Linked DNA regions of Xenopus tropicalis. Each later gene encodes a partner of the first gene's protein in a complex. Links are inferred from orthologs where the notes say so. Each region holds a gene or a part of one and is shown on either strand. Other genes may lie near its edges. The genes, in order: ints4, ints12 and ints6.

Region 1 (3,654 bases):
CCGCTGGATGCAACAAAGTTTATTCTCAGATGGGCAGGTCATGGGAAAGCCCCATACATAGGCCAGTAATGGTCTGGTGTTGCCCAGTCAGCTTTTGTTGGCCTATGTATGGCCACCTTTACACTACAGTTAGCAGCCAAGGTAACATAGTTAGGTTGAAAAACGTCCATCAAGTTAAATCTTAATGCCTATATATAACCTGGCAAAGAGGAAGGCAAAAAGCCCTTCTGAAGCTAATTTGCCGCAGAGGGGGAAAAAAATCCTTCCTGACTCCAAGATGGCAATCGGACCAGTCCCTGGATCAATTTGTACTAAGATCTATCTCCCATAACCCTGTATTCCCTCAATTTGCTAAAAAGCCATCCAGCCCCTTCTTGAAGTTATATAATGTATCTGCCAGTACTACTGGTTCAGGGAGGGAATTCCACAACTTCACAGCTCTCACTGTAACAAACCCTTTCCGAATATTTAGACAGAACCTCCTTTCTGCTAATCGGAGTGGGTGCTTTTGTGTCAGTTGGAAGGACCTACTGGTAAATAAAGCATTAGAGAGGTTATTCTATGATCCCCTTATATATTTATACATAGTTATCATGTCCCCACTTAAGCGCCTCTTCTCCAGTGTAAACAGACCCAACTGGGCCAGTCTTTCCCCATAACTGAGACTTTCCATACCCTTTACCAGCTTAGTTGCCCTTCTCTGGACCCTCTCTAACTCAATAATGTCCCGTTTGAGCACTGGAGACCAAAACTGAACAGCATATTCTAGATGGGGCCTTACCAGCGCTCTGTAAAGGGGAAGAATAACCCCCTCCTCCCGTGAATCTATACCCCTTTTAATACAAGTTGACTCCCTGTTTTATTCCTTAAGTAGCTCCTTATGTGTTATTTGTAATACTAATGGACAGCAACATTAACATTTCTCTAAAAATCCAGCTATCTGTGTACTCCTACCTAACCTAACCTCTTGTGGCTTATTTCCAGAGGTGAGGATTGCTGCTGTGGAGTCCTTGTGCCTGCTGGCCCGCTCCTCCGCTCCTTTCGCTGAGAAATGCTTGGATTTCCTGGTGGACATGTTTAACGACGAGATTGAGGAGGTACGCCTGCAGTCCATCCACACCATGCGCAAGATCTCGGACAATATCACCCTGCGAGAAGATCAGCTGGACACAGTGCTGGCCGTGCTGGAGGTGAGAAACTTCTAGAAACTTCATTTTCTAAGGGCTTCCTGGCAAGCCTTAAATTCAGTGCTGATGTTATGTGGTAATGTTTAAAGATTAGAACAAGTGTAGCAGTTTTTTAGGGGGTCGGGGAGGGGGGGGCATTGAAGTAACTACAAAGTTCTCTGGGAGTATTTAAAATAATAAATGGTCATTCTTATAGTTTGGCCTTTAGACTGAAGTATGCTTTTGGTGCCATGTATCTCACAACACTATGTTCTGCAGGATTCTTCCCGAGATATCCGGGAGGCCCTTCATGAGCTGCTCTGCTGCACAAACGTTTCCACCAAGGAGTGTATCCAGTTGGCTCTGGTTGAACTGTTGAAGAACCTCTCCAAATACCCCACCGACCGGGAGTCCATTTGGAAGTAAGTATGGAGGTCCATGCTGAGTAGCTTGAAATAGGTCGTTCTAGTCAGATTTTGCTCATTGCCAAGGTCTCCCTGACAAGCTCGGCCTAAGGCATTTTTGTTATGTTTCAGGTGTTTAAAGTTCCTTGGGAGCCGACACCCCACCCTGGTGTTGTCTCTCGTCCCAGAGCTCCTAAGCACCCACCCTTTTTTCGATACACCAGAGCCTGACATGGATGACCCAGCCTGTATCCTTCTTTTGCTCAGTGACTTGGTGTGTGTGACAGGGGGGAAGGGCGGAATGATAATACTTGTTGGGGGCATCCTTAATGGAGAAGGATCTGGGGGTTTTCTGTAGATAACAAGTTGTCTAATTCCTGGCAGTGTCATTCTGTGGCTACTAAAGCAAATAAAGTGCTGTCTTGTATAAAAAAGGGCATTCACTGAAGGGATGAAAACATCATTTTGCCCCTTTATAGGTCCCTGGTAAGGCCTCACCTTGAGTATGGGGGGCAGGTTTGGGCTCCAGTCCTTAAGAAGGATATTAATGAGCTGGAGAGAGTGCAGAGACTGCAAATTAACTGCTAAAGGGGATGGAAGGTTTAAGCTATGAGGTGAGACTGTCGAGGTTGGGGTTGTTTTCTTTGGACATGCGAGGGGACATGATTACTCTGTACAAATACATTAGAGGGGATTATAGGCAGATAGGGGGTGTTGTGTTTTCCCATAAAAGCGATCAACGCACCAGAGGCCCCCCCTTTAGATTAGAGGAATGGAGCTTCCATTTGAAGCAGCGTAGGTGTTTTTTAACAGTGAGGGCAGTGAGGTTGGGGAATGCCCTTCCTAGAGATGGGGTAATGGCAGACTCTGTTAATGCCTCTAAGAGGGGCCTGGATGAGTTCTTGAACAAGTATAGTATCCAAAGCTATTGTGATACTAATATCTACAGTTAGTATTAGTGGCTGTGTATGTAGTTTATGTATGTGAGTGTATAGATAGGTAAGTATAGGGTGTGAGTGCTGGGTTTACTTGGAAGGGTTGAACTTGATGGACTCCTTTTTTCAACCCTATGTAACTATGAGAGGTCTTGGTTTAACTAAGTTTGGAGACATTGCGGCAATACCTGTTTCCATGGATCCTGCATTTTGCCACTAGGTGGAGCTTGCAGTGGCAACTAATATTTATTCCCTATAAGTTATGGCTTGGGTTATAAACATGTAAATGGATAAAGGTAACTCCAAACAATATGTGGAAATCTTTGGAGGGAAAACAATATTTTGTCTTAAAGAAGAAGAAAAGTCTGAATCACTGGGGGTTGTCAAATGGTGATTGTAATCACTTACCTGATACCCCTGGGTAGTGCTCCTTTGAGCAGAAAACTGCAACAAACGTAACTGAGACTTTCCTTCTCCCTTTAAATGATTCTTCATTCCTAAGCTTTGCTTACATTGGATCTTAACATTGCTCTCCAGACATTGCAGTTCTGGTTCTGATATTCAATGCTGCCAAATGCTGCCCCACCATGCCGGCTCTGTTCTCGGACCACACTTTCCGCCATTATGCCTACTTACGGGACAGCCTGTCCCACCTTGTTCCTGCTCTTAATGTGAGTGTCATAGGCACAGTGCTGATATATTAGATTGTTTAATCTGATTGTAGGTTCTGCCAAATTTATGGGGCTTTAATTTTTGTGTATGATGAATTTCCATAGAAATGAAATTCTGACCCCCAGTTACTGTTGCTTTTAACTGTTACTTTTAAAATGTTCATTCTGTACAGAGAATCTGTATTGTACAGCAAGCAGTATGGCAGCTCCCACTTCTAATGTACAGTATGACTGATAAAACCTCACCATTATGCCATGTTTCTCTGTGTTTCTCCTCAGTTGCCAAGTGTGAGGTGGTCTTGGGTCCCAGATGTGGTCACAGAGGCCCCTCCTGAGGATCCTTCCCAGCAGTTCCTTCAGCTCAGCTTAGAACGGGTGCAGAATCTCCAGCACCTCGGCTCACAGGGGACACAGGAGCTGCTGGAATTCACCATTCGGTAACTAATGTGTAATTGTATGGGTGAAGCACCCAAAGGGT
Region 2 (3,548 bases), on another chromosome or scaffold:
TCGTTTGGCCCCTGGATTTTTGTGATTAAAACAATAAGCAAAAAGTATGAAGCACAAGCTCTATTTAATGAACTCAACAAGGAAACATGGAACTTTAAACATTGCAAAGCAACTGCAATTTATTTCAGCAGCAATGTATTACCATAACACAACAAACATACTATGCAAACATCTCATTACTTATGAGACAAGTTTGATAATAGATATAATAATAAATGTTTATGAAAGATTCACTTTAAGGAGCAATAAAAGTCTATAAAAACATACCTTAACTTCTGCTCTCTTGAAAGCTAAGAATGTATTTGCAGAATCGGGCTTAGCTTTCAGCTCAGGTTTATTAACAGAGGGATCCTTTGCTACAGGTGTCACTGCAGATACAGCTGATGGGGATGGCTTCTGTGAGGGTTTCTGATTCTTTTGTGCCTTTGGTTAGAATGAAAGACATGATCTATAAGAGTAGCACCTTAACTACAAACTGGATATTTATAACCTCTAAACACACAGTATAATTTAAGGTGGCTATACATAAACCAACTTTAGCTGCTAACTTGCCCATTGTGTATGGGGTTCAAACAAAGAAAAATACAGTGGTCTTCTTTTATCAGGGTTCGAACACTGACACAGGTGAACCCTGCATCTACCACCACCTCTGAACCAGGAGGTAGCTCCAGGGCTCCCACAGTGGCCTGTGTCAACTGCCGCAGCACATGGGGAGAGATTAATTAGTTTTCCATATTAATAAATTTGCGAGCATTCGAAATGTGAGTTTATTTGAATTAGAAAAAGTCTCAAATTGACAAATTTAAAAATTGATAAATAAACCCATTGCATCTTAAGAATCGCACACCAACATTTTAACTGTGAAGGGCAGAAGTGACCCCATCGGAACTCAAAATTTCAATGCAATATAATCAAGATTTGCATCAAAGTGCAAGAGCAATTATGTTACGTTAGACACTTCAGCCACAATTGCACCGGGTGCATCGCCCTCTCATGACCACAATTACACTGAAATTCTGGGAAAACATTATGTCAGAAAAAACATGGCGACTTGTGCTTGAAATTGCACTTAAGATTACAACTTGCTCATCTTGCTCCAGTCCTTGAATATCACAACTTTCTATCTACTGCTAATCAATTCCACTTTTTCGGGACCATTACCACCTGTACCTCAAAGACTTACCATTCTTTTCATTTGCCTTGTGCAGCGAGCACAATACCACACCAACCGTGGGTCATTCACATCTTTATCTGTGACCTGTGGTTTGTGGCAGTCCTGATGGTACAGATTGTGGCACTCCTGGCATTCAACCAGCTGATTGCCGGAGAACACAGTCATTTGTCTAAAATCAATGAAAAAAGGTGACATTAAATTTCACATTTTAGAAATCTAGCAAAGACCAGATATTAGCCGTTCCAGATATTTAGGCATAACTTCTGATTCATATGTCAGCTTCATAACATTATCATAGAAAATACTATATTTTGCAGCACTAAGATAAGCTAATTATTAATAAACAAAATCATGGTCAACAACAAATGTACATGAACATGTAAGTCGCCAGCGGGATGGCAGACGAGGCGGCACGATTTCACGCAAATCGCCCCGCCGCATCTGCCATCCCGCCGGCGACTTACATGTTCGCCGGTGGGATGGCAGGGGTAGGCAACTCGGGGAGATTAGTCGCCCGCGAACAGGGAGTTTTGCCGCGGGCGACTAATCTCCCCGTGTGCCAGAGCCCTTAGGTTTAAATCTTCTTATGAAATTGTTTCAAAACGAGAAAAAAAAGGAAGTTATTGTACAGAGGGTATCTGTCTGTGTTGTAAGTTAATAAGATAAACAGATTGCTGTAGATGGTTCATGATAGTGGTGATATAGGAGAATATCAGATTTATAAAGAAAAAAATCAAGATGAAGATGAGATTAATAATTTCTAGAAGGAAATGAAAAGACAATAGAGAGAAAATGGAAGATGGGGTGCTTAAAGGAGTTAAGCACCATAAATAATATGGAAGCCAGAATTCGGTTGGTCATCACACAGAAATGTATAGGTATTCTGGCTGAATGCTAAACCAAAGCTGAGTGTGTCAGAAGCCTTCTACTTTTAGCCCATTAATTCTTTTCAAACACACAGACATAGAAGGTCTGAGGGAAATAAACACTTACCGACAAACAACACAAGCCAACCCCATCTCCATGGCAAAATCATCAGCACTGGTCTCGTCAAAGCTTGAGAGATCTGGCACAGGCAAATCCTTGCTTAACTGTACTGTGACAGGGGAAGAACGAGCTTCTGTCTTCTCTATACGAGGCTTCTTTGGAATATCCATAACATCACTGATTTCCACTTTCATCTGTCAGCCCAAACAAATACAGAATTGACTGCATAACAGTGCGATACTCTACATAATACAAACATTTTAGCAACCTAGCAATAAGAACCAGCCTGAACTGCATATGGCCACATATTGTGTTGGCTAATTATATTGTATAAAAATCTATATATAAAACTAAAACCAACGACAAAAAATGTAGCCGTTTGCCTGCTGCAGTTTCCCCCCCACTGAAAAAGCAACTGAAAATGACTGAAATTGCCCAGTTGCCTAGCAATGGGACTTGCTTCAAATACTAGCGCACAGGTGATTTTGATACAATTTTCACCTTAGCGTATCTGAGGGGCTATACATACCCCTGGTGAAAATTCAGAGATAAAGTTCTACACACTCTTGGTAGAACCTGAATACTAGTGAAATTTTATAGTGATATATTGCTATAGGAGACTAGATAATTCCACAGTGCATGTTGCAAAAGTGCTACATTTCAAAAGAAAATATTCTGTCCTGTGTGACCATGACAACTGCCCTAAAGTGAACAATAGACTGCGTTCTGGAAAAAATTGTAAAGAGCTATAAATAAGAAAAAAGCACAGTCAGCCTGGCACAAAAAGTTTCTCATCAATGACACAAACAGGGGGCACGGCTTCTTGTTGAGTAATAAGAAGCCACCAAAATTAACCCTTGCACATCTGTTGTTATGACATATGAGCCAGATCTACTTTATGTGCATTGCATTGATATCAATGGAAAGTAAACAATGGTGATCTCACAATTTGATAGTGAGGAAACGCCTTGTTTGCCACAGACCTCAACAATTAGGGGCCGATTTATGACTGCTTGAGCCTTTTACCTCGTGTAATCACAAAGGAAACCCCACGAGTTAAGGAACTCAAGGGGGGTTTCGTGGGAAAAAAACTCTTTAGCCGAGGCATTTTTCCCCTAGCGGTCTTTCTTGAATTAGAAAAAGTTTGACACCTAAAAGCTGCAGAACCTGCAGAATATATGTGTATATGCATAAAACACAGCACTAATGCAGTTTTGACAGATCAGGCAGTACTGAATCGAAATGGCTAAAAACTCAAGTTTGGAAGAAACAAAGAAATGAAGACATTCACTCACAATAAAACACTCACTTTTAAGGTCCCCATACACGGGCCGATAGTAGCTGCCGATATTGGTCCCTTGGACCGATTCAGCAGCTTATCGGCCCA
Region 3 (3,654 bases), about 19 Mb from region 1:
AGGAAATTACACATATTAATACAGATTCTACTGAGCTGGGCATTAGGGCAGTTGTAACTTAATGTCTATAACTGTTACGGTATTAGACACACATATGCACTGCGTCAAGAATAACATTTTTTTTAAACCAGAAGGAAAGGGGTCTGTATGTACATCTTGGGCCCTTAAATACTCTGAAATACTATTTTTCAATCAAAACATGGTTCATATGTTGGCAGATAAGCAGGTATTTAATGTTTTCCCTCATACACACATGCCCTTTTAATACTGGACAGCTCTCACTCAGAAAAATGGGAGTTAGCTTTCCCAAGTGACATCAGTTTAGGGCAGATACACTCCCTACCCCAGCTCCATTGATCTGCAGTTAAAAGTACAGCTTTGCTGCCTGTGCCTGCACACAAGCGAGAGTGGAGGTTGGCCCAAAAATGCCTGCTTTCATGTTTCAGGGCCGTTCTTCGCTGTGCTCCGCTGAGTGTGCCTAAAGTGCAGATCAACAGAGCTGAGGAAGGGAGCAAATCCGCTTCCCTCAGCCTGAAAAAATAAACGTAAGTTGAGGGCAGCAGAGCCAATGCTCTGTGTGCCCTGGCCCTAATATGAAGGTTCCCAAACGGTGCGGCTGGTTCCCTTGGGAGGCCTTGAAGTGGCTGAAGGCCAATTAGGGAAAGACATGGCCCACAGCATACTAATTAATCAGCAATGAAAATGACTATTTTCAATTAATCTTGCCTTGGTACACTTATAACCACAACTTTACTGTAACTCCCCAGCTAATATAGATCCCCTTCCCCTATGCAGATGGCCATATACAGACCAGCTCTTCTAAACTAAAGTTGCAAGAAATTGAAACTTCGCATGACTTTGGAATACCGAAGCCATGTGATGGCCATTAACATTATTGAGATAGGACCATCCAACAGTATAGCAGTTGGTACAAGGGTTTAGAAGAGCTACTATGTATATACTATTAAATTATACTACAGGTATGGGACCAGTTATCCAGAATGCCCGGGACCTGGGGTTTTCCGGATAAGGGGTCTTTCCGTAATTTGGATCTCTTACCTTAAGTCTACTAAATAATTATTTAAACAGTAATTAAACCCAGTGTTATTGTTTTGGCTCCAATAAGGATTAATTATATCTTAGTTGGGATCAAGTACAAGCTACGGTTTTATTATTATAGAGAAAAAGGAAACCATTTTAACAAATGTGAATTATTTGATTAAAATAGAGTCTATGGGAGATGGCCTTTCTGTAATTCGGAACTTTCTGGATAATGGGTTTCCAGATGAGAGGTCCAATACCTGCAATATAGTCTTACTTTGTACTGTGAGGACAACTAAAACACTGGCCATCTGCATAGGGGAAGGGGATAAACCGACTACAACGCTTTGTGGGACATCAGCCTTACTTTCACTCATATTGGGAAATCAGTATCAGCAGTTTTGTATATCTGAATAACCACAGGTCTAAAATAGATATGTATAATCTAATTACTTACTAATGTTGGAGAATTCTGATCTGGCCAAAAGGATTCTGGAATAGGCCAGTGACCTAGAGGGACGCCTGCTTTTGGATTGGGCCTAACATATATGAGTTTGCGACAGCTGTGCCAGGGTTGGGATCCAACTGATCTGACTGGGTCTGTAGGTCCATCTGAAAGGAACAAATAATGTTTTTATTAATGTTGAACATTTTAATAATTCCATTCCTAGCCAAACATTTGGCTAGCCATAAATGTAAGTAGCAGGCCCTAGCCTAGTTGGTACCCCCAAGCATGGATGGCTGCCAGCATATTGCTGACCTACTTACCCTGGCATGTGACTACAGGCAAAAGACATAAACAATTATAAAAGATTCTATGCTAAAGATAAAATGTCACTCCCTGAAGGAAAGTGCATATTCGGAATTTGTTAAAATTTAAAAAATGATTAAAAAAAATTAAATGTCATTACTAATAAAAGCATCCTACATCAAGGAGAAGGAAAGGTGAACTGGCTCCCATAACCACACTGTTCAATTAAGCAGAGTCTAACATGGGATTTATTATTTTGTTCCCTTGAACCAATCAAGCCTAGGTTTGCACCTACAATAAATCCAGTTTTTGTCCATAACCTTGTGTGTATTTTTTATCTCTTTGGAACATGACTTTCCATCTAGCCAAGCACTCCACTGATATATTCAAATCACAACGGAAACATCTTGTTTGGTTCATATTTAGCACAACTTTATATCATAAGCAAACACAGAAACAGTACTTACAGTGCCAACACCAAGGTCATACATTGGTTACACTGAACAACAACGTAACCAGACAACTATAGGATTTCACAAGTCATATTTTGAATATACCCTTTATCCCACAGGAAGTGGGAGTTTGAAATAATAGATAAATAAAAAGATTCACAAAGCCTCCTTAATCTCCACAGCTGGCAAGAAAGCAGCACTTTCTATATTGGGATCTATTTACTGAATCTCCTACCCTTTTCGGCAGTGGAATGGCGAGTAACTGGGCCCTGCAGCAAGATCACTGAGCCACTAAACTTTCGAAAAAAAGACATTTCCCTTAACATATATTGCACCTCCTTATCAGTCAAAGTCCCACTTTGTCCCCTAGAGTTCCTAGGCACCCAAAAAGTTGCAGGGTCATTTACCTCTATAGTTACACCCATGTTGTTGAGAAAGACACATGCATTGAGTTCAAGTTTATTTGTTAGAACACAATCAAAAAGGATACAAATGTTAACAGAACTGTAGTTACCCTCTAGAATTGGAGGATCTGGTCCAGACTTTTCAAAGTTAATCACTACTCCACTTTGAATCTTTTGCACCAACGACTCTAGACACTGGTTAAGAATGCGTTGTGAAGTAACACTATATGATCGCCCTAGAAAGAAATCAAATATCTTCAACCTTAAGCAGGAAAATTGGCATTGTCAGTTTCCTTTGGGCCCTGCATCACAGATGTAAACCAGTCAAGTGCAGTTATTATATTAAATTATATTTCATCTATATGGATACAAATATACACACCGATGACAAAAAAAGAATAGCAGCACATACTGTACAATCAGTTGTGTGTGACTTCTTAAGCACACACTTCAATTTGGTATATTAAACATTACATTAGAATTTTTTTGGGATCTTTGGAGACTAAAGGGAGTCATGCATGGACTGACTGAACGGTTTTCTGACTACACTGCAATGCAAATGGACAGCTAGATAGCACTGATTTGTCTGTCTAGCTGATACCCCATATGAGAGAAAGCAAGCTGCTGATGCTCATTTATGTGCTGACAAGAGACACTAGCAGTCCATTTGGGATCTGTTAAGTCTAAGATGGGAATGGATTCCAGAACAATGACAAAACTACCACTATTCATGGAAGCACACAGACACACTTTGCGCAGTGCTTGACTCAGTAATCATACATGGACCTACCTCCAGTCACATCACACATGGCAGTAATAGGGGACTCATCAAACTGAACGGCGGTTGGCTGCTCTTGCTCTACCGATGATGCTCCAGGCAGACGAAGCACCAGAGCAAAAAGTCTCTGATCCCAGCGAAATGGCTCTTTTGTCAGTTCACTGCCAGGTAACGGAGAAATCAAAGGCAAGTGGAGCTAAATAAGAGACAAGGAGTAAAACATTTACA

The links.
Region 2: ints4 (region 1) and ints12 share a complex: the UniProt entries of both Homo sapiens proteins name them as parts of the integrator complex. The link is inferred for Xenopus tropicalis from reciprocal best matches to the Homo sapiens genes INTS4 and INTS12.
Region 3: ints4 (region 1) and ints6 share a complex: the UniProt entries of both Homo sapiens proteins name them as parts of the integrator complex. The link is inferred for Xenopus tropicalis from reciprocal best matches to the Homo sapiens genes INTS4 and INTS6.

Annotation. Positions count from the first base shown.
Region 1 is NC_030678.2:168,913,532-168,917,185, reverse strand, and holds part of ints4 (integrator complex subunit 4), read left to right. Parts: intron 1-984; coding exon 985-1,190; intron 1,191-1,445; coding exon 1,446-1,588; intron 1,589-1,702; coding exon 1,703-1,818; intron 1,819-3,042; coding exon 3,043-3,176; intron 3,177-3,455; coding exon 3,456-3,613; intron 3,614-3,654. UniProt on the Homo sapiens protein: Component of the integrator complex, a multiprotein complex that terminates RNA polymerase II (Pol II) transcription in the promoter-proximal region of genes.
Region 2 is NC_030677.2:72,498,477-72,502,024, reverse strand, and holds part of ints12 (integrator complex subunit 12), read right to left. Parts: intron 2,356-3,548; coding exon 2,168-2,355; intron 1,344-2,167; coding exon 1,184-1,343; intron 424-1,183; coding exon 268-423; intron 1-267. UniProt on the Homo sapiens protein: Component of the integrator complex, a multiprotein complex that terminates RNA polymerase II (Pol II) transcription in the promoter-proximal region of genes.
Region 3 is NC_030678.2:149,895,571-149,899,224, forward strand, and holds part of ints6 (integrator complex subunit 6), read right to left. Parts: intron 3,623-3,654; coding exon 3,439-3,622; intron 2,885-3,438; coding exon 2,759-2,884; intron 1,654-2,758; coding exon 1,499-1,653; intron 1-1,498. UniProt on the Homo sapiens protein: Component of the integrator complex, a multiprotein complex that terminates RNA polymerase II (Pol II) transcription in the promoter-proximal region of genes.